Linked DNA regions of Callithrix jacchus. The protein of the gene in region 2 purifies or fractionates together with the protein of the main gene of each other region. This does not show direct contact. Links are inferred from orthologs where the notes say so. Each region holds a gene or a part of one and is shown on either strand. Other genes may lie near its edges. The genes, in order: ATRN, ANKRD46 and MGRN1.

What was found.
Region 1: the proteins of ANKRD46 (region 2) and ATRN purify together in Homo sapiens (co-immunoprecipitation; 3 studies listed by BioGRID and IntAct, with this or other methods). This does not show direct contact. The link is inferred for Callithrix jacchus from reciprocal best matches to the Homo sapiens genes ANKRD46 and ATRN.
Region 3: the proteins of ANKRD46 (region 2) and MGRN1 purify together in Homo sapiens (co-immunoprecipitation; 3 studies listed by BioGRID and IntAct, counting the BioPlex papers as one, with this or other methods). This does not show direct contact. The link is inferred for Callithrix jacchus from reciprocal best matches to the Homo sapiens genes ANKRD46 and MGRN1.

What each region holds. Positions count from the first base shown.
Region 1 is NC_133506.1:11,065,234-11,068,879, forward strand, and holds part of ATRN (attractin), read left to right. Parts: intron 1-143; coding exon 144-364; intron 365-1,997; coding exon 1,998-2,119; intron 2,120-2,989; coding exon 2,990-3,128; intron 3,129-3,646. UniProt on the Homo sapiens protein: Involved in the initial immune cell clustering during inflammatory response and may regulate chemotactic activity of chemokines. May play a role in melanocortin signaling pathways that regulate energy homeostasis and hair color.
Region 2 is NC_133517.1:96,398,238-96,402,375, reverse strand, and holds the start of ANKRD46 (ankyrin repeat domain-containing protein 46), read right to left. Parts: upstream 2,931-4,138; 5' UTR 2,904-2,930; exon of another isoform or gene 2,721-2,903; intron 2,655-2,720; exon of another isoform or gene 1,647-2,654; intron 19-1,646; exon of another isoform or gene 1-18.
Region 3 is NC_133513.1:6,809,889-6,813,534, forward strand, and holds part of MGRN1 (E3 ubiquitin-protein ligase MGRN1), read left to right. Parts: intron 1-1,546; coding exon 1,547-1,659; 3' UTR 1,660-3,646. UniProt on the Homo sapiens protein: E3 ubiquitin-protein ligase. Mediates monoubiquitination at multiple sites of TSG101 in the presence of UBE2D1, but not of UBE2G1, nor UBE2H. Plays a role in the regulation of endosome-to-lysosome trafficking.

The DNA.
Region 1 (3,646 bases), on a different chromosome or scaffold from region 2:
GCGAGAGGATCTCTTGAGCCCTAGAGTTTGAGACCAGCCTGGGCAACAGAGTAAGACCCTGTCTCTTAAAAAAACAAAAAAGTATAGCTTGCAATTGTTATCTAAGTCTCTGGTAAATTTCTTCTCTCCCTTTTTCCTCTTAGCACCATGTTTGTGTTTGGTGGTTTCAATAGTCTCCTCCTCAGTGACATCCTGGTATTCACCTTGGAACAGTGTGATGCACACCGGAGTGAAGCCGCTTGTTTAGCAGCAGGACCTGGTATCCGGTGTGTGTGGGACACAGGGTCGTCTCAGTGTATCTCATGGGAGCTGGCAACTGATGAACAAGAGGAAAAGTTAAAATCAGAATGTTTTAACAAAAGAAGTATGTTTTTTTCCTCTATTTAGATTTTAATTAATTTGAGACCTCATTTTATCTGAATTATGAAGGAACTTAGCATTTGTACACTTTTTGTGTTCTCCTTATTATCCAAAATTATTCAGTGATAACTTGTACAAAGCATTGCTGGATATTTGAAAATTGGTTTGTAAACATCTCGGATGGGAACATGCCATATGGCTCCTAGAAGGTCTGTGAATGATGAAGACATAACCTTCTTGGCATTGCATAGGCTTTGCCTACTGACTCCAGATCCTGGCTGCAGTTGCTCTGAGGCAGTGCCATCTGGCAGAACTTTGTTTTTGATGATGGAAATGTTCTGTGTCTGGACTATCCCAATATTGTAGCCGCTATCCACATGGGGTATCAAATACTCGAAATGTAGCTAGTGTGACTGAATAACTGAATTTTTAATTTAATTTTAATTTAAAAAACATTTGTGACTACTGGCTACTATCTTGGATACAGATCTATCATTAAGGATGAAATCAGGAGAGTCAGCCCAGAAAAGCCATGTTGAAGTAAATTGTTTTGGTAGAGAGAAGGAGAGCTGCTGTCCTTGCAGAGTATTTTTGTCTAGCTTCTCTAGTTGGATACATATCAAGACAGACAGTTACTGAGGATGGGCAGTGATCTCTCTTCTAGAACCTCCCCTCATGGTTTCCAAGCTGGTTTCTTCCTTCTGCCTGCTTTGTTTCCTGTCCTATATTGCTGACACATAGAGAACAATACAATACAGTGAAGTGATGTATAAAAAAGTTCTATTTTATTTTATTTTGAGACAGAATCTCACTCTGTCGCTCAGGCTGGAGTACAGCAGTACAATCTCAGCTCACTACAACCTCTGCCTCCCAGATTCAAGTGATTCTCATGCCTCAGCCTGTAATCCCTGAATAGCTGAGATTACAGTCACCTGCCACCAAACCCAGCTAATTTTTGTATTTTTAATAGAGACGGGAGTTTCACCATGTTGGCCAGGCTGGTCTTGAACTCATGACCTCAGGTGATCCGCCCACCTCGGCCTCCCAAAGTGTTGAGATTACAGGTGTGAGCTATTGTGCATGGCCAGAAAATTCTTTAAAAGTAAGAATGTTTTCTCTGTAAGATATTTATTTACACCAATTAATTTAAAATATGTTGGCTGAATTTCTTATTAGTAGAATTGGTGTTGCAGTTAACTTGAGAGTTATGATGCGTAGAAGCAGCTTTCATTCCTGTGCCCAAATTAGCCTTGCATTTATAACTAGGTCTCCTACAATATTTTGGCTCCTGGGCGGTTTTGATGTTCATTATATTACTAGTTGATTTTTTTTTTTTTTTTTTGGAACGAAAAGTATTCAAAGAACCAGAATTTACTTTTATTATATCTTATAGTTGTTAAATCAACCTATTCTTGTTTTTACTTTCTGTGTACTTCTTTTTTTTTGGGTCAAAACTATTTCTTTAGATCGTCTATTTCTAAATATTATTTTTAACCAGAACATACCAAATATATTTTTCTGCTAATTTCACTCTTCATTTTACTTCTTAATGATTGTTACAATTTTTTTTAACTTCCAGTCTCTGGTTGTGCTCAACTGAAGCTGTCCACGTTGATGAGGTTTTCTTTTCTTTATAGCTCTTGACCATGACAGATGTGACCAGCACACAGATTGTTACAGCTGCACAGCCAACACCAATGACTGCCACTGGTGCAATGACCATTGTGTCCCAAGGAACCACAGCTGCACAGAAGGCCAGGTCAGAGACTGTTTCTTAAAGATTTCAGAGAAATCCTAATGTGTCATAGGTTCAGCTTTTATAGTGTATGTGATATAAATAATGGCTCAGAGTTATTTTTCAAACAGGTTTAGATTTGGATTTTATTATCCCTGAGTTTTTCCTTTAGGAAGAGATGCTCTATACATCTTAATTCCAAGGGTCCTACTAGCCCTGGGGATTTGTGTGTTTTAGAAGAAGGTAAGACTGTTGTCCCTGGGCATGGCCGTGATTAAGTACTGGATCCTTGATTCGAGGCATCTAATAGTGACCTCACTTTATCAGTGCTAGGTTTTGGTAGCAAGTGTGGGCTTGAGACTGAGAGTGAGTCAGAGATATAGCGGCCCATATTGAACTGTGGAAATGACAGACTGCAGAATCTCCTTGTCATATCTTGGTTTGGCATAACTTCACTGCCTATCCTATATAGATTTTTTAATTGAAGTTATAAGATGACCCAGGCTTTTATAGTTTTTGACAGCTTTCAAGACTTTTTCTGTCAATCTCCTGCAGTTCTTAAAATAGAAAACTTTCAGACTTTTGAAGGGAGCATTTGAAAATAGCAAGTTCAACATTCCCATTTTACAGATGACCAGGTTGAGGTATGGTATTTAAAAGAGTGAGCTGCGTCCTTGCCAGTTAAAAACATGTCCTTGAGCAGAACATTCCATTGCACTATTCCTACTGCAGAGCTGCTGCATCTTATTTGCTTACTTATTTATTTATCTATCTCTCTATTTATTTGCGGTTTGCTTCCTCAATTAGATTTTGTTGTCTATAGTATCCTGTTGGTCCTCACTGTAAGTTCTCTCCGTGGATACAAGAGAAAAGCTTTTGTCCACTGTGTTTTAGATCTCCATTTCCAGGTATGAGAATTGCCCCAAGGATAACCCCATGTACTACTGTAACAAGAAGACCAGCTGCAGGAGCTGTGCCCTGGACCAGAACTGCCAGTGGGAGCCCCGGAATCAGGAGTGCATTGCCCTGCCTGGTAGGCCTTGCAGGGTCATCTTGGTGTGTGTGGGTCCAAGACTTCACCCCACTTCCCCCAACACTATGCAGCCTAGGTTGAACCTAGCAAAGGGGAAAAGCTAGTTCTGTGCATTCATCCCCCACACCAGTACGATGAGGTTTTTTGTTTTTAACTAAAATGCACTTCTTAAGTATTTGCTCCTATTGTCCTTTGAAATAAAGTGAAACATCCTTCACTGCTCTGGAGAATTGAGTGACAGCTTGGTTTTGTATCACTGAGCTGGCTCCTTTCCTCTTCCTCATCCACCTTTGATAACCTGGGACTAGAACACAATGTCTCAGCAGCCAGTCTGCTGAGCACTTTATGGAGAGTACTTCTTATTAACCACTTGGATTTGGTTGTTGGCACCTGCTCATGGGCCTCCTCTCAGAAGGACAGAATAGATACTTCCATCAGCAGCACCTTCTTGGGGTATCTCCAGCCCTGAAAACCTCAACACATGCTACTTCTGAGGTTCAGGATAATGAGTTCAGGGC
Region 2 (4,138 bases):
ATAACAACAGCTGATGAGCTTAAAAACAAAAATGCAAACAATCTCATAATGTTTTCAAAACGTTTACAAATTTGAGTTGAACAAGCTTGCATTAGTGACTCCCAAATTTCTCTTTCCAGCTGGACCTTTCTCCTCAACTCCAGTCTCTATAACCCCACTTGAAGAGGCATCTCAAACCTGACTAAAATGGCTCCACCCACCTTCACATTCAGTCTTCTCCATCTCGGTACACTGTAACAAAAGCCTTCCAACAGCCTTTCTCTCACAAGCACATCCAAACCATCAACAAATCCTATCAGCAGTACTCAAAATACGAAGGCTTCTTACTGCCTCTCTTACTACCCACCTGGTCTAAGCCACCATTCTCTCTGGCTTCAACTACTGCATCAACCTAACAGGTCTCCTTGTTTCCATCCTTGCCCTTACAGTCACTCTGAACACAGCAACTGAAGTGATCTTTTGAAAACCTGAATCCAGATCCCCTCACTCCTCTGCTCAAAACCCTCCAACCACCTCCCTTCTCACTCAGAGTCAAAGCGAAAGTCCTTACCTGGGCCCATTAGCTCTCTGACCTTGTCTCATCCTCCTTCCCTCCAGGTGCTCAAAGCCACTGGCCCCTTTGCTGTTCCTCCAACAAGACTCACGGATTCTGGGTTTTTGCCCTTGCTTGGTGTGCTCTTTCCCTAGACAGCTGCATGGCAGTCTCTGACGCCTTCAGTTTTGCTCGAGTCTTTTCCATGGCACCAGACTGCACCTGTCCCTTTCTTGGTGCTTCCTATCCCCCTTTGTTACTTTATTTTTCTTCTTAGCAACTGTTACCATCTGACTGGAGATAGGTTAACTTTCACAAATGTCGCTTATTATTCCCACCCCCACCTTCTTCCAGTGACACTTTAGCTCCTGGAAGACAAGGACTTCATTTTGTCTACTCTCGTAACCCCAGTGCTCACAACAGAGCCTGGCCATGGAAGGCACTAAACATACGCCTGCTATGTGAATGCTGAATATGCAAATTCTTAAATCTATAATAGACAAGGTTAAGAAGTCTGGGACTACAAAACCCAACTTCTTTCCACAACGGGAAATACAATTTCCCCTTTTGACAAAGAACTGTGAGAAACCTTTATTTTCCAAAGTAACACAATTTGCTCTAAATAACATGCCAAAAATTCCTCATCGCTTCACAGCCTCCAATGCCTTTCCTATATTCTGTAAAATATTAACTTGCTATCATCGAAAAATCTTTGATTTCCCTCTGGTCCTGCTATCATAATATTGCAAAGGCAAAGTGAACTCACTAAAAATGTATGGAAACATAAATAATGAAGAAAAGTAATTAAGTGTGTTCACAATCAAATAAATCCATCTCTATTCAAATCAAAATCATACTGGCATATTGAGAACCCCAGTCCAAGTCTAACTTTATTATCACCATAGTCCTTAATGCGCTAACATTTTTCTTATGAAACTCCTTTTAAATTAGTTTCATATAGGACTTCTGCATATGGCCATGAAAACTAAGCCAGAGGAAAATCAGTTTTGGCTACACGTCTAATTGATAAACAAAACTCTTAGCACTACACGTTTGGCTAGATAACAGAAGCTGGGATACTGAAGTAAGGGAGAGGAGGCGAAATCTCGCTCACCCTTTGCTAGCTGTCTGACCTTGGACAAGTCAGACCCTCGGCGGCTCAGTTTCCTTATCTGTATAATGGAAATGGCATCTGATAGGGTTGCTCCAAGGATTAAATAAAGGTGCCAGGTATTAAAAGCAATGGCATCACGTCTGACATAAAATAACCACTGAAAACAGCTATTACTGGCCGGGTGCGGTGGCTCACACCTGTAATCCCCGCAGTTTGGGAGGCTGAGGCGGGCGGATCATGAGGTCAAGAGATCGAGACCATCCTGGCCAACATGGTGAAACCCCCGTCTCTACTAAAAATACAAATTTTAACTGGGCATGGTGGGCGCCTGTGGTCCCAGCTGCTCGGGAGGCTGAGGCAGAAGAATCGCTTGAACCCAGGAGGCAGAGGGTGCAGTGAGCCGAGATGGCGCCATTGCACTCCAGCCTGGCGACAGAGCGAGACACCGTATGTTTAAAAAAAAAAAAAAAGAGAACGAAAAGAAAACAGCTATTACTAGAACATAAAAATAATCCCCACACCACTCATATTACAGCTCTTTAAGAACCTCCTAGGTACCACTGTCATTTTTTAAAGGGTGAGAAGTGTTACTATTCAATGGCATATTTTTACTTTACGATGTTCTGTCGCCAACCCCGAATACCGTGGAACGTTTTAAAAAAACAAATGCTTTTCTCTTGAGCTTTAGGAAAACCTGAGAGAGAACGATCTGCTTCTTAGCACTGCACGTCAAATAAGAGAGGACGTTTCCGATGAGCTGAGCCCTAAGCGGAAGGTGTGCAAATGCCGCCTTCTAACACTGGCACCCGGGACAGCTCAGTCCCACCCCAACAGCTTGTCCCGGCGCCCTGGACGCTGCGCTCCTCCAAGCCCACGCCGCGAGGGCACCGTCTCGCCCCGGCCGGGCAGCTGGACCCGCGGCGGGGCTTCCGCACTCACCCACCGCCGGATTAACCGCGAGCCAGCGCCACCCCGGGGCTCCCAGGACCACAGCCACACCCCGCATGCGCAAACGAGCAGCCTCGCGGGCCTCTCCCGGCCTCAGGAGCACACAGACCGCAGAGACGCGCTCACCAATCCGCGCTCGCTTCCTGGGCCCGCCTCCCTCCGCTGGCCGCGGAGGTGCCGGGAGCCCGGGCACCCTCTCCCCTCAGGACCCTCGGCCAGGCCGACTGGATCTCCGGTCCTACAGGGACGTTGCGGGAGGTATCGAGTGGCTCTCGCCCTGGCGCTGCCCACGGGCCCGAGGTCAGGTACCTGCGACTCGAACGAGCAGCAGAGACTGCGGCAGCTGCTCCGCGGCGGTGACGGGCGGAGGGAGGGGAGGGGCCGGCCAGGGGCAGGCAGAGTCCCCGCTGGGCCAGAGCGGCCTGGCGCCGCGGCCCCGGAGCGCCCCCTGCAGATGGGCGGTCCGCACGGTGGCTTGGCCTGCTGAGTCAGAGATTCTGGGAGTGCCTGCTCTGAATTCGGGAAAGCATCAAAACTTGTGGCTTCCCAAGAGGAAGCCATCCTAGAAGAGGTTTATCTGATCTGAGTCCGGGAGCATTTTGCACTTTTCTCGTCCTGTTCTAAATTCACATCTCATCCCCTTAGCTAAATGGGGACTTCAAAGGCAAAGGGAATTTTATTAGGTGCTATAAACGTGAATTAATAGTTGCTTGCCGCTAGGTAGAGCTTCTGTAGACCCCAGATGGACGTATTAGGAATAGCCACTAATGGCTGGCTGCTCTAATTCTAAAATATAATCCTGCATTTTTGGTTTTTTTCAAAAGCAGTTTGAATTTTTTTTTTTTTATTTGAGACGGAGTCTTGCTCTGTCGCCCAGGCTGGAGTGCAGTGGCGAAATCTCAGCTCACTGCAATCCCCACCTCCCGGGTTCAAGTCATTCACACTTTCAATCTTTCCATCCTACTTTGTAGGGTTCCTTGACTTATTGCAACACGTGCAGCCAAGACTAAAAGAGTGCTGGGACATCTGGGACATTCATGTACTGAAAACATTCTTTCATGCAAAACTAGTTTCTTTTTCTTCAGTTTACCAACTCCAATCCTACAGCCAAGACAACTCCCCCTGCACACTGACCATCCTCTGAATTATAGCACCCTCATCCAACCAAGCCAGGCTCTACAGCAAGCTTGTCCAACCCACGGCCCACACCTGCAGGCTGCATGCAGCCAAGATAGTTTAAAATGCAGCCCAACACAAACTCATAAACTTTCTTAAAACATTATGAGATTTTGCAGGTTTTATTTTTATTTTTTGAAAAAAAAAAAAAAAAAAAAACAAACCTGGGCCACACATAAAATATACTAATATCAACAATTGTTGATGTTAGTAGTATACATAAAATTCTTCCAGTGTGGCCCAGGGAAGCCAAAAGATTGGATACCCCTGCTTTAGGGTGTCTCATAATCCATTCATTCAAAAACCATCTACTGTCTAATAGTTTGTTCTTGAAAATGTCGTGTAAAGGTTTAGGACTATTGTCATAT
Region 3 (3,646 bases), on a different chromosome or scaffold from region 2:
TCACACCTGTAATCCCAGGTCTTTGGGAGACCAAGGGGTTAGATGACTTGAGCCCAGGATTTCAAAGTAGTGTGGGAAACATAGTGAGACCCCTCTACAAAAGTTTAAAAACTGGCTTGAGCTTGGTGGCTTACACCTGTGGTCCCAGCTCCTAAGAGGGCTGAGGTGGGAGGATTGCCTGAGCTGGGGAGGTCCAGGCCCACTCCAGCCTGAGTCCTTGTCTCAAAAACAGAAAATATACACATGCAAACACACACGTACACACACACACACACACACACACACACACGCACAGGAGAGAGAGAGAGAGGACAGCTCCAGGAGTACCACCAAAAAGTAGGCAGGCAGACTGGGGACCCTCTGCCTTCCCGAAGGGTCTGGGCGCACATGCCGCCTGCAGCTCTGGTCTGCTGAGGGGGCTGCTGGTGTTCTCTGAGGCCGGGGCTCCCACACAGGACCACAGCCATCGTCGGGCAAGGCCCATGTGGCCCGCTGGGAAGTGCCCAGCCGGGGTCCAGGCTCCCAGAGGCCCTTTCCCCTGGGCGGACTTGAGCTGGGCCCAGGAGCTTTGCTTGTTTTGACTGCACTCTGCGTTCTCACGCATCTGTCGTCTTGAGCCCAGTGCGTCCCTCTGTGGACCCCTCTCCTGACCTGTCATACCCCTTGACTGAAACGCCACCTGCACCTTTTAGAGGGCCCCGGCCTGCGTGTCGGGGGATGGTGCCGTTCGAATGTTACGGCTCAGGTCAAGCTTCCAGAGGTGGGGAGCGCAGGTGTGGTCTGGAACAGGCTCACAGCCTCTGAGCTCTGGTATTGCTGCAGGCCGAAGCCCCTGAGGAAGATAGCCATCCTTCACCTGAGAGCGGGGCCGGGCCCTGTCTGCTGGGAGCCATGGGTCAGGGCTGGTGGCTGGATGTTGGGCAGCCCTGAGGCCGTGCTGGCCCCGTCCCAGGCTCAGCACCAGCACTGTTACCCAAGCCCCGGGGAAGCCAGACCCATCTGGGGACAGCACCTGGCAGCGGTGTAGAAGCCATAGTCCAAGCGTCGGGGCTCTGTGGGAGGCTCCTCTCTGCCTCACAGAAGCCACCATGGGGCCACTCTGAGCTTGGGATCGTTCTCGCTCGGGGCTGCTCCCTGCCCCTCCACCCCAGGGTGACTGAGTTCTAGCCTAACCTAGCCATAAGGACCTTAGCAGGACAGTGGGTGGTCACATCCCAGGAAACTGGGACCAGGGGGAGGGCAGGAGACCCAGAGGACAGAAGCCACAGCGCCACGTCGTGTTCTGACTCGGGGCTGCAGCTCTGCTGCCAGTGTCTGGGGGTGCAGGGTGATGTGCCCGGTGTCCTGGGATGAGGGGTGATCTGCCTGAGAGGGACACACCGTGCTTGGCAGGGCTGGAGAGGCCCCATCTGTTCTGGCCACAGACAGGTGGCGGGAGTGGGGGTGCGGGGTGGCCCACCCCTGTGTGGCTCCAGGTTGGTAGGAGTGGGTGGCACCAAGCAGCTGAGTGTGACCCACCTCCCTCCCCCTCTGCTCCTGCCTGCAGGATGGCCCACCTCCATGGAAATGGCCCACAGCCTTGGCACCACCAGCCCCACCTGGCCTCCTCTTGGTGGCCCCAGCCCTGATCCCAGCACCGCCGAGCTGACCTCACTCTGAGAGCCTGGCCAAGCTGGCAGCATGGAGCCCTCAGCTCCCTAGACTTTGCCAAGGGGCTGCCCCAGACCCCGGTGTGACTCGGCCTCTCCTGTCTGCATGCCCCCTGTGGCCACCAGGCTCCAAGGGGCTGTGGTGACCCCTGATGAAAGAGCACAGTGGACTGTCCCCCAAGTCCCCCTTTTCTATGGTTGATATATTTGTAACTGGTACAAGATGAAGGACAGCAGCTTTCCATCCCAAGTTCAGCGCCTGGGTTCCCCAGGGTCTGGTGGGCCGAGCATCTGGGGCTGGGGCTGCCCACATGTGGCTTTTGCTGGCTGCACCGGGTCCCTCAGCAGTGCAGTTGCTGCCCAGAGAACTCAGCAGACCTGCACAAGAGAATTTATTGGTGGGTGAAGCACTATCTTCACAGATGTTCGGGGGCAGTGGGGGCTCGAGGCACGGTCAGTGAAGGAAACGGTGCCTGTCCGCCCAGCCCACCGGTGTTACCACGGCAGCCTGGCTGTTGCTGCCTTCTGTCCTCTGCCGTGTTTGTGCAGCCTCCATGCCCTCCCTGGTGTGTCTCTGCTGGCGCCTTCAGTGCTCAGAGCTTTGGGGTGCACTGCTGTCGCTCTGGGCAGCTGAAGCATCTCAGCCTAGCACTGGACCTGACTGAGGGGCCAAGGCACAGCCGCTTCCAGCAGCCATCATCCAGCAGCCTTGTTACCAAGCCCTGCACCTTCTCACCGTGCTGGCTTTGGTGACCTCACCAGGCCCCTCCAGTTGCAGGGCCATCCGTTCAGCAGGGCCCTGTCAAGAAGGACCATTCCCTTTTGTCATTGGAATGTCCCCTGCGGTTCTCTTTTTTTTGAGATGGAGTTTCACTCTTGTTGCCCAGGCTGGAGTACAGTGGCATGGTTTCGCTCACTGTAACCTCCACCTCCCAGGTTCAAGTGGTTGTCCTGCCTCAGCCTCCCGAGTAGCTGGGATTATAGGTGCATGCCACCAACCCTGGCTAATTTTTTTGTATTTTTAGTAGAGACAGGGTTTCACCATGTCGGTCTGGCTGGTCCCGAACTCCTGACCTCAGGTGATCCACCCACCTCGCAAAGTGCTGGGATTACAGGCATGATCCGCTGCGCCCGGCCCCCTTGTGGTTCTCTTTGATTTGATGTGTCAGGCTCCCTCGGTGAGACCCACCCGGGGAGGAGGGAGCCAGCAGCCCACCTGGTAAGTGAGGTCACAGCCTGGAGGCTTGGCCTCTGGGCGACGTTGTCCTGTTTTTATTAAGGTAAACATCCTGGGCAGCAGACAGGTGAAGGGGGTATCTGGCCTTGGTGACCCAGGACTTGAGCCACCCCAGCAGGGCCCTGGGCCGGGAAGGTATGTGTGGGTCTTCTGGCCCGGGGGCGGGGAGGTTGCCCTGCAGCTGGGCTTGGGGATCAGATGGCTGTGGGGCAGCTCACAGCCCTCCCTGAGGTTCAGGGTGGCCTTGAGTACAAGCTCTGCTTCCTGGGCGCTCAGGGGGGACCCAGCAGTGGTCCCTGCACCCAGCTCCCTGCACACCCAGGCCAGTCCCCTCCTGCCCTTGTGCACATGCTCTCACATTCACACACATGCTTATGCACAGTCACTTGCACATGCTCATACACACATGCTCCCACGTTCACGCACACATGCTCAGGCATATTTGCACACACTCATACGCATACACACATGCTCCCACACACGTGCACGCATACACATACCCATACGCATATGCTCCCACGTGTGTGTGCACTTGGCCCAGGCATCTCCCCAACGCACCTCCCCCCACACACCTCCCCCCAACCCCACCTCTCCTCCCGCTCTGCCAAGGCCCCAGCCTGTGGCCGTCGGTCCTGGTGCCAGGGCTCTCCGTGAAGTTCAGGCTGCAGAATGGCCCGCTGGGACTCCTATGTGCTGCCATTTGATGTGCTCAGATGGGCCCATTTGTTTTTACTGTATATTTATAGTAATAAAATCACGC